Mytilus edulis: one gene and its partners. The protein of the gene in region 2 purifies or fractionates together with the protein of the main gene of each other region. This does not show direct contact. Links are inferred from orthologs where the notes say so. Each region holds a gene or a part of one and is shown on either strand. Other genes may lie near its edges. The genes, in order: serine/threonine-protein kinase RIO1-like, methylosome subunit pICln-like and H/ACA ribonucleoprotein complex subunit 1-like.

Region 1 (10,513 bases), on a different chromosome or scaffold from region 2:
ATGATAACGGTTCTCAAGATATAGAGCGGACACAATCTTTACCATAGGACATGGGGTTGTCAACTGAAACCAAATTTTGACCTTGAACTTTGCCCTAGGCAGTCGTTCATAAATTATGACACACCCTCTGGTGTTGGTTCATATACATGTCAAGTATAAACTTTGAAATCATAACGGTTCTCAAGATTTAGAACGGACATGATCTTCACCACAGGACACAGGGTTGTCAACTGAAACCAAAGTTTTTTTACCTTGACCTTTGACCTAGGAAGTTGTACATACATCATGACACGCCCTCTGGTGGTGGTTAATAAACATGTAAAGTATAAAGTATGAAATCATAATGGTTCTCTAGATATGGAGCGGACACAAAGTTAAAGTGTTACGGACGGACGGACGGATGGACAGACTGATCACTATAGGGCCCTAATTATAAGGTTAGTTTTTTCTAAGAATAAATGTATATAACGTTTATTTATAATCTAGTATATTCATCTTCTTTAAAAGTAATACCTGACAGTAAACAGAAAGACAAGCAATCATCCTTTCGTGTCCAGTTAAAACTTTGCAAAGCATCAAGTTACATTGTGAAACAAATAAGCTGATTATGTATAAATCACTGTCATAATATACAAATATTAACCTGTTCTTAAACAAAATTGCTGAGATGCCATGTACTTAGCTATGTATGTCAATTTTTATTCTAGTAATGCTTCTAATTTGATCATCATCATTCACTTATTTTACATGTACATGTACATATACATTAACATGTGTATGTGTTGTACAGATAATGATTAGATGTTAATTTAATGTATAATTTCATATGAATCAGTATACATACATGTATGGTATACAATTTTACCTGCAGTATGTAGTTTTCTATCAGCTGAGCCCAGTTTTGTACATCTCCTTCTAATCTACCCATATCATATCTTTCTTCCCCTGGATAACATGTGATATCCTTTGGTAATATAATCATAAGTATGGTAACTACCGAGGAGAAATGTAAATAATACATCATCAGTCAACATGGAAACACCGCTTATTAGGTTTTAAAGATGTCTCATCTGAAAAAAAACAAAATATGACATAACAAGAATGTGTCCTCAGTACACGAATGCCCCACTCGCACTATCATTTTCCATGTTCAGTGGACCGTGAAATTGGGGTAAAAACTCTAATTTGGCATTAAAATTAGAAAGATCATATCATAGGGAACATGTGTACTAAGTTTGAAGTTGATTGGACTTCAACTTCATCAAAAACTACCTTGACCAAAAACTTTAACCTGGAGCGGGACAGACGGACGAACGGACAGATGGACGGACGGACGGACGAACGGACGCACAGACCAGAAAACATAATGCCCCTCTACTATCGTAGGTGGGGCATAAAAATGGACAAATTCACAGTTCCATTCAATCATGAGAATCAACCTGAAAGGAAAAGACATATTACATTGATTGATTAGTACTGTAACCAGGCTATTCATAAATGGTGGTCTAACTTGCTGGTTGACTTATACTTGGGGTGTTGAACAGAAGAATAATTTCAGGAGTTGAAAATAGCACTTGCTTGTCTCCCATGGCTTTTGTTTCTAACTACTTGTTATGCGAAAAAGCCTGGTGGGTTTCCATTGTTGCACAAAAACAGTATGTGAAATCCTTGAATTGCTCTTGATCTGATATGCACACAATTCAAGGATTTAATTTAAATTAGACGACCTGAGAATCTTCCACAGATGCATTTTTTTGATGGGTCAGATATTTTCTATTGTGAGGTCAAAACTTAATGGGAATCTTTGCAATATCCAGTAATGGAGAACAAATACCGATAAGTTGTATTATAAAACTGGTTGCTGGTACAAATGCCTATTTAGATACTCGTCCCAACCAGGGACTTTCTATACACACTGCTAACTAACAGACTATATAAGTTTACAACATAAGAGGTCCACAGATACTGCCTGGCTTATAATTATCTTTGAAATTAATCATTGTTAATGTGTGAAAATGTAATACTAATTGTAAGCTGTGCTGGTTTGCTGATTTTTTTTTGTAATTAAGGTCATCTGATACAGTTAAATCTTGGCGTGAGGTTAAGCGTTTAAATTCCGGAAAAACATCACTTTTTTTTCGGGACGTAATGCGTGTAATTTTCCGTAATTAGAAACGTAATGTGGATTTTTCGATGCTCCAATTTTTGTTTCTCCCACATCTAACTTCTACACCATTAATATTAGTGGATTTGATTCTGACAGGATAACAGTCTAATAAAACCATAAGAAATAAAACACATTTCTGTTTCTGTGAGATCTTCAACAAAATATCGTATAGTTACAATGTAGCAATCTCTAGATGACTGACCCTTTTGGTGTTCCTAATATAATGCATGTGAATTATCATTTTTGATATGAGGAAGTCGCTACCTAAAATGTCAGCTTAATACCAAGACTAAGTCCTATAAATTAATTAATTGTTGGTTGATTAACGTCCAGTGGCAAATATTTCATGCAAAAATTTTGACGGGATGTATTATGGTATACAAATGTCAGGCTTCCGTCTGTCCGTCGTAAATATGATACAGCATATTATCCTAATGTCATGGTTGTATTTTTTATGATGGTCAATCGATCTGTATTCTTTTTGGTGAACTTTTTAAGTAACCAAACCAGGGTTGTTTTTTTCAAAGTCTGCACTGTATCTTTTAAAGGATAGTTGATATGCACTCATTTTGGAACGTGTCCATACGATATCAGTTTAGTAGAAATTTGACAAGAATTGTACACTTGAAAAATCTAATTAACCATAAGGACCGACAGAGGAATGAAAGTGTGATATTTTATGTACCCTGCAATGCAGCTCGCTGTGGTGAAAAAAATATATAGTTATAATTTCCAATGAAATTGCGCATAGGTAATATGTCCAGTCCTCTCGCTATTAATTCAACCGTGTTTGCCAAATCAAAAATTGAAATAATTATGGTATAGTTGCTCTGTCTGGACAAAAGCATCCTTTAGCATATTGAAGATTCTCCTTTATAAGATTTTGTTTTGTTTTCTCACACACAGGTTCCTGGTTCGATTCCAGTTTGGGTTGAGGAAAGTTGATAGTCCGTCGGAAGGGGACGCTAAATGGTTGATCCGTGTTAAGAGAGAGCCATATCTCTTGCATGTTAAAGACACCCTTGTAGATTTCAAAAAAAAGTAGGCTAATGCCGCTACAAGGCAGCACTCGCACCCGCAAAGTGGAAAGGGATTAATATAAGTTGCAAAACTTGTTTCCCAATCCACTATAAATAAATATGTTTAAACTAAACAAGAAAGAAGATGTGGTATAATCGCCAATGAGATGTAACTCTCCACAAGAGACAAACATGACACAAAAATTAACAACTATAGGTCACCATACAGTCTTTAACAATGAGAAAAACCAATACTGCATAGTCAGCTATAAAAACTGTGAATTCTAAAACTGTTTAGGAGCCTCTCAATTTTATTCAATTGTAACATTGACCCGAATAAAAGTTTAATTCTATGAATTAATGTAAAATTCTTAAAAGTGATTAAAACGTGAATAGAGGAATTTAAAGGAGTATTGTAATGAAACAGCAGCCCACCAAACAAAATGAATAAAAAAAAAAACAACATCTAGAGGTCAACATATGGTATAAATTAATACATACTAGTATGTAAATACACGAGTGTGTACAGTACATGTACCTGAATGTCAAGTTCTAAATTGCCAAGTCTTTAGTTTTAAAAGCCGAAAAATTATCAACAGTCCGTAAGCACTTTTCTTGAGATATTTCTCTCTTAGACCACAAACAAAGAGATGTATTTATGATGTACATGATTTTTATTTCCGAAAACAATATTCGTTCATTATCACTGGACTAGTATATATTTGTTTAGGGGCCAGCTGAAGGACGCCTCCGGGTGCGGGAATTTCTCGCTACATTGAAGACCTGTTGGTGACCCTCTGCTGTTGTGTTTTGTTTTTTATTTGGTCGGGTTGTTGTCTCTTTGACACATTCCCCATTTCCATTCTAAATTTTACCTATTTATAGGCAGCTCTTTACAAGCAATATTTATACATCTAAAAAATGTCGCCAGTTTGCAGCGATAACATCGAAAAAGTCTGCCAGCCATGTCATGCACTTAAGCGCTAACGTTGAGGTTACAAAGGGGGGACGCAATTTTTAGGATAAATCGTGTTTATCATAGAATCCAGCACGGTGACATATATTTTTTATTTGAGATTTGGAGAAAGCATGACAAAATGCACTTTATGCAGAAAAATGATAAAAATGACATTTTCAGAAACACTTTATTTTCATATTTTTGGGATTAAAAAATACCACTTTGAGGATCTGGTTCGCAAGGTCAAGCAAGGCTTGAATAATTGTATAGTCATTCGTGTAGCGATTATTTTTTTTATTTATTGTCACTTATCACAGCTTCAAATTGAACCCGATCTTAATAATTTACAACGAAGAATATATGCTCCAAAAATTTTATAACATTGCCTACATGTACCTCTTTTACAAAATTGCACAAATCCCCAATTTTCAGCCTCAATTTTCTTGAAAACGAGCACGGTGACCTATATTTTATTTCGTGTTTTATTTTATAACTCGCCAAGGCCAACAACATATTTCAAAACTATAAAAATGACATATCGAAAAACTGTATCGGATGCCCTTAATACAAGAAAAATAAAACTTATGATCATTTTTTGTGTGTTTGTAAAAGAACACCTGTGAATAGCCTAGATGTAGTCCAAATAATTATGACGTCTGGAAGGCTATCTTAAATTTTTGCTTTGACTCCTTCTGTCGATGTAAGGCGTCAAAGAAAAAAAAATATAATAGCCTTTCAAAATGTCATAATTATTTGGACTAGGACTAGCCTAGATGATTTAGAAATTAGAGTAGAGTACTACTACTAGACTTTATAGAATAAAAACCGAGTTTGATAATAAAATTCTATTATATTTTTATAATTATTGTATTAAATAATATTATACTTCTGCTTCTGCCAGATAATGGTCAGAATCAATGAACTGATTATACTGCCATGGTTTGGTTTGCATATTTGACCACCCCCCTCCCCAAAATTTGGAAATTTAATTCAGCTTTGTCATCGAGGTTTTAAAGGCCTCGACTGACGGAACTGTCAGATATATATTTGCTTTTGCCAAAGGTTGTCTCTCGCTCTGTCGATTGTTTACAATCACAGTTGAGAAAATTGATTTTTGCCTTGAACAGTTCAAGACCACAATAAATTGCTATTGCAACGATTTTTTAATGAAAATTGAAAGGAAATTTATTTACAGTTGAGTACCATATGTATCTTATTTACCTGGTTATCAAATAAATTTTCAAACTGCGGTAGAAGAAGTGAAATTGGCAACATCCTTTGCTGCTGCAGCTGTGTTTTCACAGCAACATATTTATGCAGACGAATTTTAATAAAAACATAGCGATTGGTAGAATTTAGATGAAAGAATAAAACAAACGACCTGATTGGTTAACATCGTCTACCGGATGTTACACAATGTTGTCGTTCTGAACAAGCACATGTCGTCGTAGTAAGTCTTGTCATTTTAAGGTTTCTTAAGAAACAGACAACTTTATCATGTTTAAAGATGTTTGTGCTGTATTTATATCTTACCACGGACTTTCCTTGTATCCTACTCACTATATGGAAAAAATAGAAGTCTCATCTTTCTACATAAATATTTAAGATAGAAAATTAATCAGTTAATAGGTACGGAAAGTGATTTTTTTTAAATCAACTGATCTAAGAAAACTTAATCTCATTTTAAAGGCATTGTGAAGACATTTTCAAAACAGTTTCACTTTTATCAATACACATAATAACAACGAAGTAATAGCAAATTTTCAAAATGGAAATTTTTTACTATTCTGGAAAAACTGTTTCCTCTCTTTAAAAAATAATAAAATATATTTTTTTAATCATTTGGGTTATAGTTTTGTTAATATTGCTTCTTTTACATCTTGTAAGTCAATTTCAATCCTCCATGTTAAGTTTTTTGTTTAAATTCGAAGCATAAAGCATGAAAATGTCAACCACTCTCATGAAATTCTATCGTCCAAAGTCACATAACATGACGATAACTTTATATATTCCTTTTTTCAGAGCATCAGTTGGTATATTGAAAATGTAAAGTAAAACTTATAAACATTTGAATGTAAAGAAACAAAATATTAATATGAATATTACTCTTTATATACAAATGTATATATGTTTAATTGTGTGTGTGTATAAAAAAGAAGATGTGGTATGATTGCCAATGAGACAACTCTCCACAAGAGACCAAATGACACAGAAATTAATAACTATAGGTCACTGTATGGCCTTCAACAATGAGCAAAACCCATACCGCAAAGTCAGCTATAAAAGGCCCACGAAATGACAAATGTAAAACAATTCAAACAAGAAAACTAACAGCTTAATTTATGTACAAAAAATTAACGAAAAACAAATATTTAACACATCAACAAACGACAACCACTGAATTACAGGGTCCTGACATTGGACAGGCACATACATACAGAATATGGTGGGGTTAAACATGTTAGCGGGTGCCCAATTCTTCCCCTGACCTGTCACAGTACAACATAAGAACGAACTATAAAAATCAGATGTACCATGAGAGACAAGAATTGTTTTGAAACATGTCATCTGTCTTTGTATAGTCATGATAGTTTTAGAATGTTCCCTTTTCATTAACATTCTATTTAATGAAATATTCTTATTCTTATATAGCATGTACATAGTAAATGCTTATGAATAAAAATAAACAACAAGCTTTTAACAATTATTCTACAGGACTAAAATACCTGTTGCACTGAAAAACAATGAAAATAATATAACTATTTTTTATTCAAGAAATTTCAAACAAAATAATTATGTCAGATCACTGTAAATACTTTTACATGTATGTATAAAAGTAAAGTAAATTCATATCTGTATATCAGTTACAATATTTATACAGTGAAATCTGTAAACCAATCTCGTTCAGGACTGAAGTTCAAAATGCATTGAATGTGAATAGCATTCAAAGTGAACTGCCACTACTGCATGGATTCCTATGTATGTCTTTTTAGTTGAACATGTTGAAAATACATATGTTTTAAACCACATTATTCAGTATCCTTACTATCTCGTGTGCAATGGCAAGTGGTTGAACTATCTTTAAATCGCAATAAACTGGCTGTATAATGCAAAAAAAAACTATCGCCGCTGATTTCCAATCAAAACTAAACCAAAAATTGTCCATGCAAGGGAAATAACTCTGTATACACAAAAAGGAGGGTTATTTATAAAAATTAATTTTGATATGAACACAGCTATCTAGATTTATTTATTGGACCTAATTATTTAATTAATATATTAAACTTGATAAAAAAAATACATTTTATGGCTGTATAAAGTTCCCTTGTATTTTTTTGAAACGAATGTAACTTTCAAACCCTTGTTTGTACCTCAAATATTTCATCGTATTCCCGAAAATTATAATATACAAAATCATGTATATTCATATAATATCTATCAAAAGCAATCAGAACCTTCTGAGACTTAACAAGTTAATAGAAGGCCGTAATCGGAGGTCACCCAAAGATTTTATTTTTACACACATCTGGGAACAATTATTTAGGGTAATTTGGAGTTATCTCCCATTGGTTTGCCATACCTACAGTTAATAGCCTAGACAGCCAGTGTTTGTTTTAGCATCATAGACTGGAATTTTAAATCATTTTGTATATAAATTATAATATGGTATAGTGAAAAATTCACGGTCATGGCAAATATTATTGATTAACTCTCAATTTCATTTTATGAATGAATGCAGGATGGGTCTGAATACACCTTATCGTTGATCCCCTGATCCCGGCTGACCTGTTCGCTTGAACTTTTGACACATACAACAATCACTTTTTCATTGTGGCATCAGATATTTTGTTTTATGATGTCAAAATTTTACGGAAACCTGTGTAATATGAAGCATGTCAAGTTATGGTGGACAAATAGTCATAAGGTGTATGCTTATTGTTGAACGCCATCAATGACCCAAAGTTGGTTGAGAGTTGTCTCATTGGCAATTCATACTACTACTAGGCAATTTTTTACAACCTTGACTACCCACGAGGGTCTGGCACAATTGGTTTTTGCAAATCATACAACATCTTATATTTTTTTATTCCCTGGATGACCTGACATACATGTATGTCTTGTGACATAATGACCTAATTTTTCCTTGATATCTAAATTCTCTTATTGGAATATCAAGTATTACAATGTATATCTTTCTTCTATTCAAACAGATTAGGAGTGGTAAACCAGGGTTATGCTAATGTTAAATGGGAAATAAAAATGCTAGTGCAGCAATGGTCAATTTTCCTGTGTCCTGCTCTATACAGTGTTTGGATGAATACATCCTCTTCATGAAAACAAATACGAAAGTTTTATTTTGATTCAGTTCATATGTAACAATAAAAGCATAAGCTCTTGAGAACATCAATTTATGGTTGGTGTCACCTTACTATAGGCTGAGGTGTCCAAAAGGAATTTATTTGAATCATTCCATTTCTTTATTATTTTTTGTGATATTAAAAGATATATTGCATGCTTCATTCAGGTATTTTATGGGGTTTTTTTCCAGAATATGTCAACAGATACATGTATAGTAGAAGGGCAGTTTGATGATGCTGACGCTGAAAGGTAGGATTTGTCTCAAAATAAAGATATACTAAAAAAAAAAAATTGTGACTAATTCAATAGCAAATTATATTTAATTGTTTTAAGGTGGTACCTAACACTACAGGGAGATAACTCTGTAAAATCACCTAAACGTTTTAATGACGTTGTGTTTTTAAGGGAATATTAAGCTTCTCAATGATCAAAATTAGTGTTTGTCAAACTGCTATATAACCAGTGTAATTTTTCTGATAAAATGCTTGGTTCAAATTTTTTGAAACTTTTATATTTTTGTCAAAGGGTCAAAGTCAATACTTTGTCAAAATTTTATGAAAATTAAACGAGCCAAATTAATTTTAGTGAAAGTGTTGGGTACCACCTTAAAAGACCAAATTTTGACTTCATTTGTCTTTTCAGTCAGTTTATTTCATAGCAAAAAATTTGCACATCTCAAGATCAATGATAACTTAATTGAAAACTATTTTGAGTTAAGTTGCAGTCTCATTGACATAATTGATATCTACATTGAACCCCACATCTGTTTAAAAGTTCTAGGCTACTTTTTTTTTTGTATCTTGTGTGATAAATTGGAAACAAGGTTCATGATTTCTTGTGTATTTTCCTGGAAAGATTTTGGAAGAAGAAGCTTGTTGTAACATTCAGATTCATTGTTTTGTGTTTGTAAGCTGTAGTTGAAAATTTCTTCTCTTTATTGTTGTTGTGGCCTTGATTAAATAAGATCTATATGGAGGAAGATGTGGGGTATACATCTATATGGGTAAAAACCAACAATATGAAGAAGAAAAAAAACACCAGAAAAAATATTTGAATATTCTTTCTATAAAACAATGTAAAAAATAAGAACATATTTATTTTGTATAAAATTTAATATTGATCGGTTAATTTTTATTTTTTTATTTTTCAGCAACACAAGGTCATCTCTTACCAAATTAACAGAAACAGGTACAAACAATATGTCTGTAGAAAGAGATTTATATTTCAGAAAGTTGTTTGCTGGAACTAAATGGTTTCATGAGATACTTAAACTAATAAGATTTGAATTAAAAGTTACATAACCAACAGTGTCCAGGAATCCTGCAATGGTATTAAATTCTGACAAAGTTTCATGATAATATTGAGCCAGAGATTATAACACCATAACATTTTCACACATGGAACAGGTGGATATATAATATCAGTTTTTATAGCTCAAAGTTTTTACTTGTGAGACATTCATTTATGATACAATACAGTAAATTTTTAAGAAAAAATGTATTTTATGAACACAATTGTTTGCAATTTCTACTGAAATATTTTGATAGTGTGAATTTTTGTGAAATTAGTCACAACAACTAAAACCTAAGCATAATATATAAGTTAATATTTGGCTGTAAAATTATTTATGTTATAAATATCAAATGGGTTTATTCCATGTAAATGTATACATATTTATTCCCTTACAGCTTTTACATTAATGCTAGCAAGACAAATCTTTGTTTGGCTTGCTTGCTTTGCTTGTATCAATGTTTGCTCAAGCATGGTAATTAAGATAGGCGGGGCTTCAGCTTGTATACATCATACTTAAATGTTATTGGACGTTATGTTGGAGGTTAAGGACACTAAATTTTAAAACATCACATGACACATATTCTCACATGTTTCCTTACCTGTAAATATACAATACAGACAGGATTCTACTTCGTCGAAATTATCTTCCTATTACGCCAGTTCATTTTCACAATCGTAGAAACGGAAGACAATTTTTTTTCAGAGATCCAACTTTAA
Region 2 (11,056 bases):
AGATGTCTTGCCAGTATATAATGAGATTGATAGTAAAATGAAAATCAAATTAGAAAAACTTTATGATGTAAATTATACCAAATACTGATGATGGTCACTGAACAATAACTGAAGGAACAGGGTCAAATTATTTATGAGAAATAGAAGATAAGCCTTTGCTAAAACAACTACATGTACTGTAAATGCAAAACATTTTATGGAGGATTTAATTTTGTTCATTTCATGGAAAGATTAATAATCATTATATCCAAGAAATTAAAACCCCCACAAAAATTTAACCTACATATAATATCACTACCATTTACTGGAAACCACGAAATTAAATCCTTATGAAATCTTACACAGAGACAAAACCACAAAATTTTAACCCCGAGAAAATTAATGTTTCTACTATTAATGGAAAGATACAAATGAAAGTCTTCCTGTAGTAGTATAGTATACAGAAACTATTTGAACTGACAAGATTTTTGCTGGAAAATATTGTAGTATATGTATGAACTCTAATAGAAGTTTGACATTTTAAAAATTTGAGCCTACACGTTAATTCAAATGTCATTCACTTTTATGATTTCTATAAATATCTGTTTTTTTTCAAATAAGAGCGCATTTGTTTCTAACCTAAACGACGTAAACGATTACGCGCGTAGTCGTTTAATCCATTTGTTTCTTACAGTTTTTGGTCAACGTTTACATCGTTTACATAAACGATGTACGCGCAAAATAGTCGCGTAGTCGTTGATCGTTTATCGTTGAGACGTGTAAAGGATATATTTGTTTCTGCATCTGTCGTTTAAATAATTACGAGCACGTGTTGTTTTCATAAAGTCCTGGTTATTTATTTCCCGCACTTTTACCTGTTTGTTTACAGTGCGTGAGTGTAATCTATTTCTGTCTGACTACGCGGGGTCGATGAAGTTTATTAAATGATGTATTTGTTTCTAGCAGCTTAACGTTTACTAAACGATAGTCATCGATGACAAAATTTCGGGTTAAAATGCACTCTAAGTGTTGTTTTAAGATGAGTATAGAAACATGATATTAACACCTCTAGATCTTATTACAAACATAAAATTGAGAATGGAAATGGGGAATGTGTCAAAGAGACAACAACCCGACCAAATAAAAAACAACAGCAGAGGGTCACCAACAGGTCTTCAATGTAGCGAGAAATTCCTAGTTTGTATATATATTTCTGTACTAAAATTTATCACCAGAGTATCAAACAGCACATGGTGTACATAAATGACGTAAATCAATTTCTTGGTCACTACCAGTTCTAGTGGTTGGTGGAGTTCACATTTAAAGGTTAAATATATATATAATACTATTTGAATTATACCAGTTCAAGTGGTTGGTGGAGTTCACATGGCATTTAAAGGTTAAATATATATATAATACTATTTGATAAAGGTTAAATATATATATAATACCAGTTCTATTGGTTGGTGGAGTTCACATGGCATTTAAAGGTTAAATATATATATAATACTATTTGAATTATACTAGTATCAATATTCTAAGAGCATACATAAGAATATCATTCTTTATAGATTACAGGGTTTTCTCAACATATATATTGCAAAATATCAACTGCTGGCCAGCAAGTAAATCTGGTTAATAAGTAATCAAAATAGTTTAAAAGCTTCACATTGTGTCCAGGGTCTGATATTTGAAATAAACAAACCCAAGATATTATCTGTGTTGATTGTTTACAAAACAAGGTCAATTTTTGTATTTATCATTATCAATTGAGATTTAAATAAAGATCATTATATGTTCCTGTACAGTTTGAAGATAAAATATATACAATACAAAAATAAATATATAAATAACAAGATTATTATACTTAAATAAAGTATAGGTAAAAATTGTTGAATTAATGATGCTACACAACATATGCACAAATCCTTGTTCAAGTATTCATTTGATCGCATTTTCATTTACATAAAATCCCACATTAAATGTACATGTAGAATCAATTTAAATTAAATAATGCCAAAATGATTAAATCCATTAATTGTTATATCATTCAATATTCAATACAAATATATTTATTTTGTTTCAGTTTAATGTGTTATCCACTCAGTTATTGGGTTACATGTAAATCATTTTTTTTGTAAATAAAGTTTATTTATATTTGTATATACAAATGTATATATGCTTCAGGAATCTGATGTTCATGGTCAGTAGTAGTTGTTTGTTGATATGATTCATAAGTGTTTCTTGTTTTTTATATACAAATGTAGATTAGACCGCTGGTTTACATGTACACTAGTCATTTTTGGGGCCCTTTATAGCTAACTGTTCGATGTGAGCCAATACTCAGTATTGAAGTACTTTTACAAGTTGCGACTTGGATGGAAAGTTGTCTCATTGGATCTTCTTATATCTATTCAAACATTTCAGCTGATATATATCTTCTAATGTTAGGATAGTTTAGCTAGTTACATCTGACAAAATACCCTTTGAGATATATTTCTTCAATAGTACACACAAATTAGTGTATTTCTAAACAGTTAACAAATGTAAACTGACATTAAATCATTTACACAAATCAATAGTATGTCCTGTCTTGATTCTGATCATAATCTCCCCTAATGATAGAAATATTTTCATTTTTTACTAATGTCATCCATTGATAAGAAATATTTCCCATAAAATATGAGATTTGACAGGGACATCCTGTTTCTTTTTAACATGTAAGAGTACAAGTGAAACCAGGTACAGCTGGTCAATATGTTGAAATGTAATCTTACAAGAAATATTGTTCCATATTAGAGTGTTAGAGTAAATAGAAACAGTTGTGTTCCATTTATTGAAACTTATTTTTGGAAACATGCAGAAAGAGTCAAAATTAGAACTGTCTGTTATAAACAAGGACTTATATCCAGAAATGCTGTAGAAGACATCAGTGAGAATCCAAAGCTTAAGGTTTAGAAAGGGGTTTAATTACTAGAGGAAAGAATGGATGAATTTTGTGCATAATTTCAATACTTTTTTTAGTTTTTTCATTATAATATATGGTAATACAGTTCCGGCAATTTTAAGGAAGTGATCAATTTGTGTTTTTAAATAGATTAAAAAAAATAAGCATTACATGTGTCACTTTGTTACTGAATTTGCTTAACAAATATTTTTTGCAATTTTTTATTTTTATCAATTCATGTAACGTGATCACAATTAAAAGTTTCATTAGTTTAAACAGAAGAAAATACCAAATAAATGTTCCTTTAAAATTCTAATTAAAATCAACTTTACATTATAGTTTAAATATTCAGACATGTTAAATGACTTTAATATAATATCAATGGTAAGCTTACATGTGGAGTCTGTGATTAATCAACTGGTTCTACTGGTACCCTTATTGTAACTATCTATGTAATATCATTAATCAATATTTTCAATACTTCTGACATTTACACTGAACCATTTCAAAAACAAAATCAAATGCAAAAAAAAAGGTAGTATTACAATACTGGACTAGTTATATATATATTCTTTAACTAGATGTAACAGCTTCCAGTCCCGTTAGCATAATAGTCTCAGTAAAAAACTTCAACTCAGTTTTTGTAATTAAATTGATTTTATCATAATTTATGAAAATAAACTGTTATCACAGAGATATGTTCGCCTTTTTGTAATTTTGATTATGCAAATGTTGAAATCCAAATAGCAATACTCTAACATCTTACACAAGTTATGCAAATATTCAAAGTCAATGACCCATGACTGAGTTTAACTGGCTAAACAATCTCCATGGAAATGAAATGTGCCAATGCTAATACAACTGCATACCACATACCATTGACTTATTATAAGTCGTTCCCAAATCTAAATACAAACTATAACTTGTAAACTTTGAAAAAGTTTCGAAGTAAATGAACCATGAAGAGGGGGTGGGGCTATATAATCTCCATGGAAACAATACTTGCAAATGCCAATAAATTTGCATACCAAATATTATTGACTTAACATAAGCAGTTCATCTTAAACTGATCTAATCACAAACTAATAAATGTAAACCAAGATAAGTTTCAAAGTCATTAGACTGTGACTGAGGTGCAAGGCCAAATATACTCCATGGAAATGAGATGTGCCAATGCTTATACAACTGAATACCAAATAAAATTGGCCTACCACTAATGGTTCCCCTTGAACTGACCTAATCACAAACTAATACATGATTTAACTTAGAATAAATTTCAAACTCTATAGACCATGACTAAGGGGGCAGAGCCAAATTATCTCCATGGAAACGAGATATTCCAATGCTTATAAAACTGCATACCAAATATCATTGACCTACCACTTGTGGTTCCCCATAAACTGACCTAATCAGGCACTAATACATGTAAAATAAGCAAAAGTTTCGAAGTCAATAGATCTAGACCATGACTGAGGGGGCAGGGCCAAATAATCTCTATGGAAATGAGATTTGCCAATGCTTATAAAAAGGCATACCAAATATGATTGACCTACCACTTGTGGTTCACCATAAACTAGACCTAATTACAAACTAATACATTGTTGACGCCGAAAACAGCATACCTATGTCTCGCTTTTTGACTCCGTCAACGCAAGACAAAAAATGGATACACATGTAAAATTGCTCACATGCATTTCACATGTCAGAATCTCATGTGAAATCCATATGAAAAATATGTTGCAGGCTCGACAAAAATCAAAACTCTTAGCCACATGCACACCTTCAGTATATATACAAACAGATAGCAAAGTAGACTTCCTAGCATTCGAACTGTAGAAGGAGTTATGCGGAATAACGATATACCAATAATGGGACGTACGGAAGGACAAACGTACAGAGGGAAGGAAGGACAGAGGTAAAACAATATGCCCCCTAACCTTTCAGTTGCAAGGGCAGGCAATATAAGCATTGATGGTCGGAACTGTCACAAAGCTATGTGAAACCCAACAGATGAACAGAATCTACCTAAAATTCAGGCAAACATTAATGGAACTATCACAAAGATATGTGCAACCGAACAGAATCTACCCTGAAATTTAGGCAAACATTAATGGAACTATCACAAAGATATGTGCAACCTATCTCAACCACTTATATACTTTAAATTATAAATTCCTTGTAATGAGGTCAAGGTCAGATTACCCAAGCCAGTCAGACATGTACACCTAACAATCATTATTTTAGCTGAAAATTGATGTAAAGTATTCTTAGAGATGTCTAACAATTTATGTTTGTTTTGTTTGTATATTTTGGTGTAGACTGGTGAGATCGTTTAAAAGTTCTTTGGCATTTTTATGGCACAGTCATCATTTGAATTAGTCCAAATAATTGGGCCATTCCAGTTAATTTCTGACAGGTGGGGATGGATGGGGAGATTTTTGTTCATACCTATCAGAAAAAAACATCACGAAAAACTACCTATCAGATCTATATATTAAGACCTATCAGATGTAGAGTTTCTGTTCAGATTGGGTGGATGGGCTTTCATGGAAAAAATTGACCTATCAGAATTTTTTACTGCAAGGATTGTACCCATCAGAATTTTAAATATAATGCCAGATAGTGCATGATACGAAACTGTCTACATTCCAAAGCACCCCTAAGATCTGAAATAGGTATTTTTTGTAACCCCTAAGATGTAATTATTTTTAATTATTTACTGCTGCAAGACCCTCAGAAATTTTTGCGTATAAGTGTACGTGTCAGATGAAAAAACCCAAAATTTCACCCCTAAGATGTATAAATTTAACACCCCTCAGAAAGGACCATCCATCCCCCTTTAGCAGATATTAACTGGAATGGCCCATTATGATGTCTGGCCCAGGAAAAAAATCAAAATAGTCTTGCTGGACCTCATTATTATTTGGACTACATTTAAATAGTCAAATGATATATAAAAGTCCAATGAATGATATAAAATTTCAAATGAATTACATGTAGATGAACTAGCACAAACCCAAGAAAAAAGTGCATGTGCTTGCAGTTTGGATTTTCAAAAATTAAACAGTGCCAACCTATAATGCTATCATTCAGCATATCATATGAATTACTGGGTAAAATCTAACAATCAATATGATACCATTGATTGCAAGTTTCACCATGTACACTAACGACACCTTTGGGTTCCCAATACACAACAAAATTTAGCTTATCAGGGTTTAATAACAGAAAAGAAAAGTCACAGACAGGAAGTCATCTTCTTCGCTCAAATCTGAATCCCTGATCATTATGGGTTTTTTCAAGGATTTGTATAGTAAGTCACAAGTCCTTGTTTTTTTTTATGTACAAAATTGTATAAAATGCATAAAAGATTTATTTTAAAGTCTTGTATACATACAACAATACATAATAAGCTCTGTAGATTGTGTATTGACATAATGAGTTCTGTTAACAACTACCAACCTTGGGATGAACAATTAGATTGTATGATCTTATGTTGTATTATTTAAACAAAAATAATCAATCAATCAATCAATCAATACTGACAATAGTATTGACTTCAAAATTATTAAGCTGAATCAATCAATCAATCAATACTGACAATAGTATTGACTTCAAAATTATTAAGCTGATTCAAGTAAAAAGTATCAAAACTGTATAACAAATCACATTTATACGGAATTCGTCCTCTTTATATATTTAATAATATAAAAGGATACTGCCTCATAAAATGTATCTTCGTCCATAATTTTTCAGACTTTAGTTCCTAGCACATCCATCATATTTTATTAGCTAAAAGCTCTTACAAAAATAACTATGTAGCAAAAGTATGTTGAAAAAAAAACGGTTTATGTCTTTGATTTAATTGAGTGAAATTTACCTGTTTTATTTCACTGGCATTCTTCAATAACAAGTAGGATGTGTTTCAGTGATATATACTGACTTTGTAACCTGAAAGAAGGGACCATAAATAGTGCTTGAATATTTACATGCAAACTACCGCTTTCTCAAACGCAGAGATGATACACATATTGCGTGGATGTTCTTTGGACTTTTTTTATTTTACAGCGAAAAATCTAGAGAATAGTTTCACTTTAAATTTGCAACGCACGTTGGACGCATGGTTGTCAAAGAAGAAATGGTTCTCTTAAATTCATGTTCCCCTCCAGATGAGGGGATACGGAAAAAACAGGAAAATACGTCAGCATTTGTTGGCGAAAGAGCACTTGGAAAAGGCACGCTGTTTATTGCAGAAAGGTTGCTATCAAACTCAAACTTAGATGATAATTGATGATATGATATTGATTACTGTGTTTACACACTTGTATACTTCAATAATAATAATAATAATAATTCTTTATTTAAAGAGTGTTACACAGTATAACACAAATCTTCCCTGAAGCCAAATGCAATGAAATATAACAAACAATTTACAAAATAATCAAACAAATACACACATACAGGCATACAGGTGGGTCTCATTGGGGTCTAAGCGTGACGTGGGATTGCCAATTTTTTTGTACTCTTGACACATGAAAGTCAAATTTTTTCTGCCCTGAAAATGGGAAATGAGGTCTAGCGGAACACCGGAAATTACAAAAAAATGAGAATTGCTTAGCCCACATACATTAAGTGTAAGCGGGATATGGGAATCTAACAGTAAGCGGGAACCGGGATTAGAACCCCCAATGAGACCCCCATATAGTAATGTCCCCGCTGCTGGTGATATCGCTCATTACCTGTTTTGACATATAAGCAATGTAACACAAGTAGAATTGTTCTTGTAATTGTTTTAGTTTTCCAAAGGAACAGAAAAATATTAAAATTGATAATTTCAAGAGTATTGGCAGTACAGTGTATCTAGGCACCTAAGACTTATGACTTCACTTCATTCAATTGATAAAACCAATAGTTGGATAATATTGCATTAACACATTCATAACATACTTTTATTACTTAAATCTTCTGTTTGTATGATTTCACCCTGAAGATTTGATGTGTTCAAAATTATGGAAACCCCTGTTTTACCAGTCCGTCAAATGTCAGGTGATTTCGTTCATGCCTTCCAAAAATAGCTTATTTTGAATAAAGAAAAAGATTTAATACTACAAATTTGAACCAAACACACTGCCTTGCAATGAGGCAGAGCAAAATTTATTCCAATACTTATATTCCAAATATATATGCATATGCCTCTTAATTATTGTTGTTGTTACCAATTATGTAAATCAATTGTATCTGATTTTATGCCCTTTATGGGCCCTGTAATTTTGGAAATAAAAATATTCTATTCTATTCTATTCCATTCTCATATAAATGTGACTTGAATAAAACAAATTTTATCTGATTTTTAAATGGAAATTGGCTAGATATGGTAAATTATGGGATTGCAGTTATAAATTTACTCTCAACTATCAATTTTATTCTTTTCTATCCCTTCTGATAGCTAAAACAATTACAAGAACAGTTTTATTTGTGCTATTGTGCAGATATGACGAAATCAGCTAATGAGCGATATCAACAGCCATGTGGACACCAGGGACTCCACTGTAATCTTATAACTGCATTCCACAGCTAATGAGCGATATCAACAGCCATGTGGACACCAGGGACTCCACTGTAATCTTATAACTGCATTCCAATCATTAACCATAGTTAGCCAATTTCCATTCAAAATATTACATCATCATGATCTGATAAATTTGCTTTATTTAAGTCAAATTATTACCGTATCTCATATCCCATTAAAGTCCCTCATGATTTAATTTCAGTTGTGTGTCATGGCAGAGCTCAGAACATGAAGGACAAGGGTTTTCCTTACAGTACCCTGGTATAAGTATACATGCTGTATCCAGAGATTTAACAGCCTTTCCACATGAATGTTTATACTTGATGGTGGAAGGAGATTTAACTGGTAAACAATAAATCAATATTAATATTGGTCGAATTGTTATAAAAATAAAAATTTGAAGCGTTTATGATTACAATTGTCATGCATGTATTCTATTTCTGAAGGCTAACGATTTGCCATATATATTTCAACAACCAAAAACGAACTTTTGTAGTTTGCTTTTTTAACATCAGTATATCAGTATGATAAGTCTTTACAAAAATAATATATGAATATTACAGAGAAATCCTACAATTATATATATATTATACATGTACATGTTATAGTTACTGAATAGTTAGAGAGCCGTAGTGTAGTGGTTAGTGCATCGGACTACTAACACAAAGGTTCCTGGTTCAATTCCCGTTTGGGATGAAAGTTTCAGGAACTCAATTTTCAGCTCTCCCTTGACACCATCTGCTAGTATGGTCTTGAGGAAACGATGATAGTCTGTCGGAAGGGGACGATAAATGGCTGACCCGTGTTAAGAGAGAGCCATATCTCTTGCACGTTAAAGACACCCTTGTAGATTTCGAAAAAGAGTAGGCTAATGCCGCTACAAGGCTGCACTCGCACCCGCAAAGTGGAAAGGGATTAATATAAGTTGCAAAAATTGTTTCCCAATCCACTATAAATAAATATGTTTAAACTAAACTAAGTTACTGAATTATTTGAGCGTGTATCAGTTTTTGAAATAAACTGATACAGTACATGTTAACAGTTATACATACACATGACATAATTATAATACTGGCATACATCTAACAAATTTAAAAAAACACTTAATGCTTATTAGGACATTAAAACTTTTCATCCTTTTTGGTGTATAAACATGATAAAAAAAGATGAATATTGTATGGACAAAATACCCAGTGAACCTCAAATCTACCGATGTTTTTTGTGGCAGTAGTGTTTGACTGTAAAATTGAGAATGATATCTTTTCTCCAAATTGTCGTATAATATATTGAAAAAATTTGCTAACATTGTATTGACAGAATAGCCGGTAAACTATATTGTGCTAAACTACATGTGTGTTGTAGATGATGCGAACAGAGAGGAGGAAGAATCAGATGATGAAGACCTTGACCCATCAACAGAGATGAGATTTGTACCAGACGATAAAACTGTGTGTATGTACTCTCTCAGGGATAACAGTTGTACTGGAAATTTTATATAAATCTTGTTTTCAAAACATGCATATGATTTATTTAACTTTAAATGTCCGTAATATTTGACATCTATAAATTTATTATTATTAGTCCCCTACCAACCAAGTCCAAGGCGGCTTTAGGTTTGACTCCTTTAGTCTGGCAAATCAGTTTTCCACACTTTTTTCTTCATGCTTGCAGATACTGATTTGATATTTGCTATATTGTTTTAATATCATGACAGGTTACAGATCAAGGTAAATTTTGTTCTGGCTGGTGATTTTGTGCAGAGTTATGATCCTTGGACTTGAAAAATTCACTCAAATAATCAGTGTTCCACAATTTTTTTCTTTGTGTTTGCAGCTATTGATTTGACATTTGCTGTTTTGACTATTGTTTTATCATGAAAAGTTACAGATCAAGTTCAAATTTTGTTCTGGTCTGATGATAGCTATTGTCCTTGGACGACTCAATTAAATAATCAGTTTTCCACCCTTTTTTTCGTCATGCTAGAAGACATTGACTTGATGTTTGTTATAAATTTACACCATGACAAGTAATAGATCAAGTAAGCATTTTGTTCAAGTACAATGCATGCTAACCAGTAGAGGACTATGTACAAATGATTCTCAGAATGCTTGTTATTATTGTCTTACAACTTACATTAAGTTTAATACCTTTTGCCCTAATTATTTTTTTCAGTAGATCAGTGATATTAAGCCATATCAAATTTTATTTCAATATACCTCTCTTTTTCAGTGGATCAGTTATATAAAGCCATGTCAGACTGTCAGATATTGCATCCTGATGAAAATGATTCAGATTTTGATGGTAAATGTTATAGACAATATTTGTGTTTAAATTGTGTAGTAACTTATCAATTGGCTTAATCCCAGTCTGTGTTTCTGTTTAAAAGGACAAAAACCTGCTGGCCAATTGTTTAGCTGACCTCGTAAGGGCTGTATAGCCAGTCAAGGTCGTTAAAAACTTCCATCATCAACCAATTGTTAAAATCTTTAAGAAAGTGTATGATTTATAAAGATATGTAACGATTTCATTCGCAAGTAGTGTAAATAAAAGGAGATATTCAT
Region 3 (10,911 bases), on a different chromosome or scaffold from region 2:
CCCCCCCCCCCATTTTTTTGCTGCAATTTTGCATCACTTAGCCCCTCGACTATTGACAAAAAGGATATTTCCTACTATGGGTGTTAAAAAATCTGGAGGCAACACTGAGATCATGATATCCCTTATTCTACAATATTTACAGTTTGTTTTTATAGCTTTTCAATCTCTTGGTTGATGTTCCTGATCCTAAGGTCAATAATATTACTTTCGAGTTCATCCCTCACCGGAAAAAACTTGTCAATTATACACACCTTTATGACGTCATTTACCAGATAGAGGGTATGACCTGTATTCAATTCAATTCAAAATATTTTATTGTTCAAATATCAAATGTACATTTAAACAAAGGGATTGGACAAAAGGCAGTGCCTATACAAATCCTTTCCCATACAAGATGGATTGAAAAACATGCATGATAGTATATAATTTTCTGATAAGTTAATAGATAATGGTTGTTTTGAGGTATTAAAATGAAAATTCCCTAATGACAGCAGTGCTGATTGTCAATTTTGAGAATTCAATTTTCCGAATAATTTGTACAATATGAGAATTATAGTTTTCCAACCACTCGCTCAACATTGGAATGGAAGTGATGACGCCCCTAAACACTCAAATGACTTATTAAAACCGGACTTTTTGTCGAAAATGCATCGAACTCGAAAGTTGTCTATTAACAGTCAGGGGACTTACTTAAATGAGGGATTTTCTAAATCACTGATTCAAGTAACATTCTTTCCATAAAGGTTGAAAGTAAGAGTTGTCTTTCTTTAATAATCACCTATTTAAGTAGTACAAAATAAACACTAGAAGAAGTGATTTAATTTTACTGTAGCTTTAGATATAGAATACTAATGATCCAGGGACTAATTATGTTTCTTAACTTATCAGAACCAACATCTGTGTTGTCTAGGATCAGGGGCGGATGCAGGAATTTTCAAAAGGGGGGGTGCTAACCCAGGGCAAAGGGGGGGGTGCAGGGGGGGTGCAAAACATATGTCCCGATACAAATGCATTGATTGGCAAAAATAAAGGGGGGGTGCGCACCCCCGGAACCCCCCCCCCCCCCCTGGATCCGCCACGGAGGATGACCAGGTCATTTCAGGTGATGACCTTGTACTGAATCTAGGATAATGACATAAAAATCACTTGTTTAAGTATCATACCTCAATTTCCTTCCCAAAAATCACTTCTTTAAGTAGCATTATTTTAATAAAGGATTAACACCTACTAATTTCAACACCCCCGAACAGTGAAATTTTTATCGTGAACAGTAGAATTTTATTACATAATCTGAAAGATGAAACCTTGAACTTTACAGGAAAAATACTCCCACTGCTGGGGAAAATCTGTTAAGAAAGTATCAGTTCATTAGGCCAAAATAAAAAGATTGTATGTTTGCCCAAACGCGACCAACCCAAAATAAACCCGCCGACTCAAAATTTTTTTTGGACGTTTTTTTGAAGAATTTTTTTTTGAAGAATTTTTTTTGGGTCCGCTCCGTCATCGTACAAAACTTAATGTTAGTCGTCTTTGCGTTTGAAAGTAACTGAATAAGATTAAAAGAAAGCGTATAAAAGACGCAGTTAATCGATATTCGATGTTCTCTGTTTTTATCTTCTGATTTAACGAACGTAAAGAAGTAAAACATGTGAAGTGGCAGTTTTTTTTACGCTGTAGTTGTCTGTACTACCAAACCCTTACCTATATGCTCAATGTTAATTTCATCGTGTTATCGAATATCTGATAAGAATATTCAGGTAGATTTGTTCAAAACCATGTGCAATCGAATATTTTCAATGTTATTCTGACAGGAAATGGATCCGGAAAAGTTGCGAATTTACAATCTTGCAAGAAGATTTTGTTTTTACTGAATAAAAAAGAATTATTTCTTGATAAATTGTTGTCTTTAATTATAATCTTTCTTTATCATGTAAATTAGATGCCCTTTTATTCAAATAGTTCAAATTTACAAGTCTCATTAGACAAGATCAGTACGTTGCTGTTTGGGAGAATTTGATAAAACTATAATTGTTCACAGAATCAGAAATATAATCTTAACTGAATGTAACTCCCTCTGAATAATTTATTGCAATATAAATCCCTTTTGACAAGAGAAATCTGACTTTTGACAGAAATATTTTTTTCACATGTGCAAAAGTAAAAACATGTTATGGACGCCATATTGGATTTTTCTACAAATTTGTGAGGAAGCCTCTAGAACCATGACCTAAAAATAAATAGTCTTCAGAAAACGTTAACTTTATGCAATTATATTTTATCAATAATGATTATTTTCAAAAATTTAAACTTGATTATTTAAAGAAATAAAATTATAACAAATACGTTTTTAGTTTGGAGATTCTACAGAACATGCTTTGATCTATTTACCGGTATAGCCAAATTAGTTTACCTGTGTGATAATGTAAATACAAATTTGTTTTCAAAACATAAACAAGACACAAACTAAGGATGGTAGATAATAATTCATATAAATATTTTAATAGAAATAGGATTTAAAAACTGCAAACAAATTTAATCATTACATAATCAGCTGATATTTTTTTTACAAAAACATCGTGTTGATGGAACTGTTGAAAATCACTTCATAAATCCACCAGCCCTTTCACACAGCTAGCAATTGTCAGTGTTATAAACATCTCAGGATACAAATCATATAGTAGACTAATTTATTTATAGAGGTTTTAAATTCATGGCTTTTGGTTTTCTCTACAAAGGTTTGACGAAAAAAAAAAGATATACTGTTTTAAGATCTTTTAATATTTTCATGCAAATTCTGATAAAAAAAAAAAAAAAAAAAGAATTTGCCTACCTACCTACCCACACCCAGTCATCATGGGTCGGGTTTGGGCAAACTGAAATATTTTTAATTGTGGCCTTATGTAAAGCCATTATTATAGCATTTTTTTCAACTGAAATAGAATTGCAGCTAAATGATAGCATCAAAGGCATAAACCTTGATACTTAAAACAAGCAAAAAATTCATTTTTTTCAATTTTACTAATAAAAAGATATTATTTAAACCTATGTGTTTAAAATTTTGGTAAAACTACAAAATCACAATTTGTGACAAAACTTCGAATTTGCTACACAAAGTGATTTAAAAATCACCAAAGTGATTTAAAAATCACTTATTTCAGTTAGTCCCCTGACTGATTAACATGACCATGATGACATGTCTCTCTTGTACTGAATATTCCTCATATGGTGCACTATTTCTCATAAGTACGATGTTGATGTCCCACCATATTTCAGTGTGTTCATGGTGTTTGTCAGTCTTTAAGATTTTTTTTAGCAACAAATGTATTTTGACCTTTTGAGTGTGAAATAAGTCAAGATTATATTATGTTATAATTTGTTTTTGAATCTTTGATATTAACCATTTGTTAACCATGCTGTAAACTGAAGGTATACATGGTACCCATCAAAACAACATTTGATAGAAAAATTTAACAATACTTTTAGATATTTGGATGATATATTGGCTCTAAATAATGACGACTTCAGTATGTATACTAAAGAAATTTATCCTGTAGAACTTACTTTAAACAAAGCTAATGCTAACAATGACCACTGCCCTTTCCTCGATCTTGATATCTATATCATAAACGGGAAGCTTAATACAAAAGTTTATGATAAAAGAGATGATTTTTCATTTCCTATTGTTAATTATCCATTTTTAGATGGTGACGTTCCCTTGTCACCATCTTATGGTGTTTATATATCTCAACTTGTACGATTCGCTCGTGTATGTAACAATGTATTAGATTTTAGCGAGAGAAATTTATGTATTACTGAAAAATTATTACACCAGGGTTTTCGATATCACAAACTGGTCAAAACATTTACTAAATTTTATCACCGGTATAAGGAAATAATTCGTAAATATAACTCAACATGCAGACATCTTATACGTTCAGGTATTTCACATCCAAAATTTTATGGAAATATTCTTTATAAAGCACAAAAATGTCAGTATTCTCCTCAGAAACTAACAAAACCTTTAAATAGACTTATTAAAAGGGGATATAGTTACGATACTGTTGTCAGGTCATTAAAGATTGCATATTTTGGCTTTAACATTGATTCACTGATAGGGTCTTTGCATCGGAACTAAACACATTTATTTCTAAAAAAACAGTTGTTGGCATGACACGGGTTATGTTCTTCTCATATATTTTATGATAGTATGATACTAAACCCCTAACGGGAGGGATTGTACCTGATATTCATATGATGAAGACATAATCTTTCAATCAGTTTAATTGAGGTCTGGAGCTGGCATGTCAGTTAACTGCTAGTAGTCTGTTGTTATTTATGTATTATTGTCATTTTATTTATTTTCTTTTGTTACATCTTTTGACATCAGACTCGGACTTCTCTTGAACTGAATTTTAATGTGCGTATTGTTATTCTTTTACTTTTCTACATTGGCTAGAGGTATAGGGGGAGGGTTGAGATCTCATAAACATGTTTAACCCCGCCGCAATTTTGCGCCTGTCCCAAGTCAGGAGCCTCTGGCCTTTGTTAGTCTTGTATGATTTTAATTTTTAGTTTCTTGTGTATAATTCGGAGTTTAGTATGACGTCCATTATCACTGTACTATTATGCATATTTTAGGGGCCAGCTGAAGGACACCTACGGGTGCGGGAATTCTCGCTACATTGAAGACCCATTGGTTGCCTTCGGCTGTTGTTTGCTCTATGGTCGGGTGGTTGTCGCTTTGACATATTCACCATTTCCTTTCTCAATTTTATTATGGTACATGTATATTATCTTAAATTATATATCCTTGATAATATAAAAAAAAATGTTTTTTTCACTTGTTTCTGGTATATAACTATATTTAAAAAGACAATTTAATGTATGTTTCAATATTTATTAACCATGTTGATTTAAACAGGCGTTTAGTTAAGAAAGACAACTCTACCTTCCAATCTTTTTGGACATAATGCAGTGTTCTCCCCAGAAATTTTGGATAGCATCACATTTGGCGTAAAAAAAAATGTATTTTTTTCAATGTAATTTGTCGCATCGTGGCAATGCTCTATTTCCATTATGATATATATGCTTTATTGTTTATTACAAAATGTATTATATTGTTTGTATGCTATAGGTCCTTATTTGGTGAATAAAATATTCTATTCAACCCTATTCTTTGTGTCAATATTGTTGAATTCATGACTGAGAATACAATTAAAGTATAACCATGATAACAGTATTTTCAGTTTATGTTTTCTATATATTCATTTATAGTTCCAGAATTATTTTTCCTCTTGGGCCAAATGAAAAAAATATGTGTGGTTCTAGTTACCCTACCTACATGAACTACCCAGTTAAAAAAAAATCTTTATCATGTCTATGAAATATATTGGCTCATGGTATTCAATGAATCAGTCCCAGTTGTTTCTTTTTATCAAAATGATATATATTCTTAACAAAGTTATCTGACAAATAGTCTGTTTGTGCTTAGTTTTCTCTTTAGGTATCATTGTTTTCTGTTTACCATGTTTACTGTGCCATTTGTGCAAATGTAGTTATTATTGTAAAATACGGATTTTTGTCATATCTGGTCTGGTTCACATCATTAGTTTACACTAAAATATTAAATGGCCGTTGAAAGCAATGAAAAATACAAAAATAAACAATGTTTGACAAGAGATTTGGAATGAATATGGCGTTTTTAATGCATTAAATGGATGAAGCATAAACTAAAGCCAATATTGATCACTTTCTAAAGAAAGACCAAAACTTATTTAGCTCATAATCAAAATTTTCACTCTCGATTTACAAAAAGTGATAGGAAGAGGAAGAAAGTATATACTACTGTAATATTTTGCAGACCACGTGGTATTAATCATGTCACAAGTGACAGCTTAGGGTATTCCAATCCAAACAGTTATCCCCCAAAGGCAATTAACTCCTATTTATTCACTCTTATTTGTCTATTGTCCGACATGAAGGGATTAAAGGTGATATATTTTTTATGATCATAAGCGGTAATTAGATGAAAGTTCAAAATTTAGGACATGGCTTTGCCATATAGAAACGAGAAAAATAACATCCTAAAAATAATTATAGCGTCACGGAAATTATTATAGCGTCACGGGAAGAAAATATAGCGTCACGGTACCGCGATGCTAAAACGTCCTGGGGAGAACACTGAAATGTTTTTTGAATCGGTGATTTAGAAAATCATTCATTTAAGTATAAAGTCCCCTGACTGTTGATTATTATACTACTTAGAAAACAAACTGAATAAACAACCTCATGGAACATTGGTGATAATTTTTATATATTTGCTGTTTCAAGGTTTTAGCATTATGGGATTTGAAAGAGGTGGTGGTAGGGGTGGAGGCCGAGGAGGAGGAAGAGGATTTGGCGGTGGTCGTGGAGGTGGATTTAGAGGAGGTGAGTTTGATGGGGCTGATCACAAGATCTTGACTTATTTGGATATAATTTGTTCAAGATGATCCATATATAAGTTTTATACCATGAAAATTATACATGTACATGTACATGATGTAGCAGTCAACCCTCATTCTTCATCAAGCTAAAGATAACCATCCAATACTTTTTTCTTCATTGTTCTTCAGAATTTGGAAATTTTCTGATAGTTCCTTATTATTGGTAGCAGAAGAGTTCAAATCTCCCACTTCAAAGAAATGTCATGTTTTCTCCTTCTTCACAATTATTAGCCAATAAATACTTTAAGTCATGTCAAATTGTTTAAACATTTATCATAACATTATAAGCTTGCAAAGTACAACGTTACAAAGTATTCCTTATATGATGTTACAATGTAGCACAGTTATATCAATGTGTACATACATATTTAGCTACATATACCTGCAATTGTCAGAATGATTAAATGCTGTTAAATCTTGGTTGGTATATGGGCAGGAATTTGCTAGTGAAATTTTAGGGTCAATAGTGTTTATCCAATTAAAAAATAAAGAAATCATGCAAATATGGAGAATAAACATTGTTTAAATATCAAAGTGGGTTAGTCTTTATTGCCACATGCAAAAAAAATGGTTCCAATTAAAAAAATCAACAAAAAATCAGCACTTGTTATGTGCTGGCAGTTGAAAACTGTAGACAAAAAGTGTGACATTTCTGCAGTGGCAAAACCCCTAGTCATATTTAGAATATGCCTGAAGAATTGTTCTACTATAATAGTTGAAAATCAACTGCAAAATGATCGGTCTATCATTTAGAAACCCCATTTTGTACAGAATCCGATTATTGCTGCAAATAAAATACGTTTGAAAATGGACAAGTGCATGTAACTTTTCCCGTCAACAAATGTTACATGCACCTTTTCATTAGCTGATTAGCTTTGGAAACAAGTTATTGGTCCAGCATGGCAAATTTTGAAAGGTGTCAACAATGGTTACAATTTGGATTTCATGATTTTTATCAATCAACTGAAGTTTGAAAAATATAGAAGGTACGAAAATTTATTTCATTTTCGTGTCAATACTGCCCAATAATACTTATCTTTTTATAACAGTTGTATACTTTTTATAGTAAGCATTAACATAATTATTTTTTTCACATTTCAACCCACTGACAATTACATTAAAATGTGGCTTTGTCATCTTTCACACTTGGCATCTACCAGTGATCAAGCAGATGATAAGAGAGTGGGACCAGGTTAATTTGACCTCACAATGAAGTGTTACATGCACTTTTTGTGTAAATTAGGTTCTTTGATAATAATGTGTGACTTGCTTTGCAATTTTGTCAAAAAATATAAGTTTATCTTGTATTTTAACAGGTTTGACCCTTACGATATTCATTTTATTGCTGGAGAGATTTCTGTACATAACATTGACACGAAAATATTTACCAAGGAAAGGTGTCTATGATACATGCAAAAGCTTTTTTTTGTACGGTTTGCCTTATCAATCTAATTTTTTACATGTAATACCACAGATTAATTGCCAATTTGATTAACTAGTACTTGTATTCATTCTCAGCATTATAAAGATAACTGGCCACTTAATTTGAAAACATAAAATGTAACATTGACACCAGAATAAAAACAATATTACTTTATTACACTTAAAGCATAATTGGCCAGTGCATAATATTAAATCAAATGTAAATTTAAGCTGAATTCTTAACAGAGAAGTTGTTGATCTTTCTTGATTTCTAGACTTTACAATATTTACTTGTAATTCTTATCGTTTAAAGGCATGTAACATTGACACATCTTCTGTGTCCAGGTTACATGCTACAACCTAATAAATGTGCATACAATTATTCAATCAATAAAATCTTGTTGAAATTTAAATTTGCTTCATTAAAATGATATTAAAGAAATAAATGAGTTTCAATTATTTGTGTTTATTTTTTTCCTGATTGACTAGCATTTTTTCCTCATCATTTGTTGGTGTTCCTGTCAATGTTACATACATAACCCAGAATTATAATGTTTTAAACGCATTGATTTCCAAACCTCTGTTATGAGCTTTAAAATGAGTTTATCTGAGTTTATAAATGACTAACATCTGAAATATTGTCATCACACAATTTCTTTGATGCTCCTATGATAACTTTATGAGTAACATGGACTACGATTTTTGTATCAGGTCTTTTTTGTGTTACATGAGAAGATTTTACTGTGTTGAAATCAACAGTTAATCTAATTTTTTATATTCAAAGTTATTATTATGATACTTATTTTAAAAAATAATGTATAAAGTAAACCCAAATTAAACTTTTTTTTCATTAAGAAATTGCATGTGTATGTAACATTGACAGAGTCTATTATTTAGACTTTTACATGTTCAGGCCATTGTTACATGCGTACACACAACTTACTGCCATATGGAGCTATTATCTTATTTTTATTTTACAAAATTAAAGCGTTTTCATGTTTTCCTGTTTAATTTGTCTTTTAACACTAGCTAGTAACATTGACAACAATATTTTGTGTCAAGATTTTTTTATGTTACATGCAAAGGTATTACTTCCTTAAAGTCAGAAATTTATATAACATTTTATAACCTAAATGATTAATTAGATATTACTGGGCAGCAATTATATTATTTTTCCAAAGTTGACTATTAAGCACACCACTTTCATCTTCTGGTCTTCATGTATGTAACATTGACATACAACCTTTTACTTTCTGTCAATGTTACACGCATGAACAGAACTGATAACATTTACTAACTCCTTTGCTCTATAAAGAGATTATTGATAATTTAACTTGTTTTACCACCATCAAACTTCATCTTTATTTCTAAATATAGATATTCTTTTTAGAAGTGTATTTTCTTCATTGACAACAAAATTGGTGTCGGTCATGAAAATTTACATGCAATTTTTAATAAAAAAAATCTACAGGCAATATAAACCTAAGAAAGAAAAAGATGATCAGCAATAAATGTGATGAAGAAAACTCTCAGGAAGATGCTGCAAAAAGATACTGTCCCTGTCAACCAGTCAGATGGTGATGTCCCTGGCAGCCAGACAGATGGTGATGTCCCTGTCAGCCTTGAAGATGGTGATGTACATATCAGTCAATCAGTTAGTTGGTGATGTTCCTGTCAGTCAGTCAGTCTGTGATGTTCTTGTAAGCCAGTCAGAGGGTAATGTCCCTGTCAGCCAACAGATAGTGATGTCCTAGTCAGCCTGGCAGATGGTGATGTTCATATTAGTCAGTCAGTTGGTGATGTTCCTGTCAGTCAGTCATATGGTGATGTTCCTGTCAGCCAGTCAGATGGTGATGTCCCTGTCAGCCAGTCAGATGGTGATGTCCCTGTCAGCCAGTCAGATGGTGATATCCCTTTCAGCCTGTCAGATGGTGATAACCCTATCAGCTTGGCAGATTATGATGTCTGTGTTAGCCAGTCTGATAAGGTCCCTATTAGTGAGTCAGGTGATGACGGTCCTTTCAGCCAGTCAGATAGTAGTGTTTGTCTGTGTCAGAAAACCAGATGATGGTGACTGTGTATGCAGACATAATAGTGATCTCCAATTTGACCATTCTACAGCAGTGTAGAAGATTGTTATTTCAAAATCTTGTTTATTTATCCCTTTTCAATCACCAGTCAACACATGTATCATGTGTATTTACTGATGCTCATTATAGAAATCATGAGGAATTCAATTTGTAACATTTTTTTTTAATTGTTATGCCAATAATTGACATTCCAGAATATCTTTTGCATTATAAGAGGTTCAGGCTCCTTCTGATTTCAAAATAATAATAATAAACTCATCATGGATACCAGAATTGAAATTTTGTAGCCCAGAAACGCTTTTCGTTTACAAAAGACTCTTCAGTGACGCTAATTATGAAACAAAAAAGTAAAAGAAGGCCAAATAAAGTTGAAAACAGGACTATGGTCTGTTGTTTTTCTCTTCTGAATTGTTTTACACTGGTCATTATGGGGCCCTTTAAATTGTGGCTTCCTGTAGTTTAGGTAACAAGTTTTCAAGATGAAATGGCATTGAAAAATCGAAACAAGATATTTGAGAGTTTCTATATTATTGTAAATTTTATATTCTATGCATGGATTTTGGTTCTGATTAAGGGTAGATTAATTGTTGTTTTGGTTATTTCTTTTTTCAGATAGATAGTTGAAGATGTTGGAGACAGAAAACAAGAAACAAGAAACTTGTTTTGAATGTTTGAAATAAAATTTATTGTTTAAACCTTAAAAAGTTATCATAAATGTAAGATTAACCAGCAGAAATAAAACGAGATATGGGGTAATATGTCTATCAGACAACAACCTCAAAGATGAAACCCAAATTGTTCTTTATAGAAGTTATGTAAACGATTGAAAATAAGATTCTCAATAAATGCAGCTGTATCAACCTCTCGTAGATTTGTCCATATTTTGTCTTGGTTTTTCATACTATTAGTTTTAA

What was found.
Region 1: the proteins of methylosome subunit pICln-like (region 2) and serine/threonine-protein kinase RIO1-like purify together in Homo sapiens (affinity purification with mass spectrometry; 3 studies listed by BioGRID and IntAct, with this or other methods). This does not show direct contact. The link is inferred for Mytilus edulis from reciprocal best matches to the Homo sapiens genes CLNS1A and RIOK1.
Region 3: the proteins of methylosome subunit pICln-like (region 2) and H/ACA ribonucleoprotein complex subunit 1-like purify together in Homo sapiens (affinity purification with mass spectrometry; 3 studies listed by BioGRID and IntAct, counting the BioPlex papers as one, with this or other methods). This does not show direct contact. The link is inferred for Mytilus edulis from reciprocal best matches to the Homo sapiens genes CLNS1A and GAR1.

What each region holds. Positions count from the first base shown.
Region 1 is NC_092344.1:84,429,408-84,439,920, forward strand, and holds the start of serine/threonine-protein kinase RIO1-like, read left to right. Parts: upstream 1-5,525; 5' UTR 5,526-5,594; intron 5,595-8,693; 5' UTR 8,694-8,696; coding exon 8,697-8,752; intron 8,753-9,653; coding exon 9,654-9,691; intron 9,692-10,513. Other genes in the region: voltage-dependent calcium channel subunit alpha-2/delta-2-like, read right to left, coding at 866-1,024. UniProt on the Homo sapiens protein: Involved in the final steps of cytoplasmic maturation of the 40S ribosomal subunit. Involved in processing of 18S-E pre-rRNA to the mature 18S rRNA. Required for the recycling of NOB1 and PNO1 from the late 40S precursor.
Region 2 is NC_092346.1:104,452,858-104,463,913, reverse strand, and holds the start of methylosome subunit pICln-like, read left to right. Parts: upstream 1-6,935; 5' UTR 6,936-7,046; coding exon 7,047-7,183; intron 7,184-8,697; coding exon 8,698-8,840; intron 8,841-9,857; coding exon 9,858-9,947; intron 9,948-10,724; coding exon 10,725-10,796; intron 10,797-11,056. UniProt on the Homo sapiens protein: Involved in both the assembly of spliceosomal snRNPs and the methylation of Sm proteins.
Region 3 is NC_092352.1:81,857,866-81,868,776, reverse strand, and holds the start of H/ACA ribonucleoprotein complex subunit 1-like, read left to right. Parts: upstream 1-6,331; 5' UTR 6,332-6,341; coding exon 6,342-6,429; intron 6,430-10,911. UniProt on the Homo sapiens protein: Required for ribosome biogenesis and telomere maintenance. Part of the H/ACA small nucleolar ribonucleoprotein (H/ACA snoRNP) complex, which catalyzes pseudouridylation of rRNA.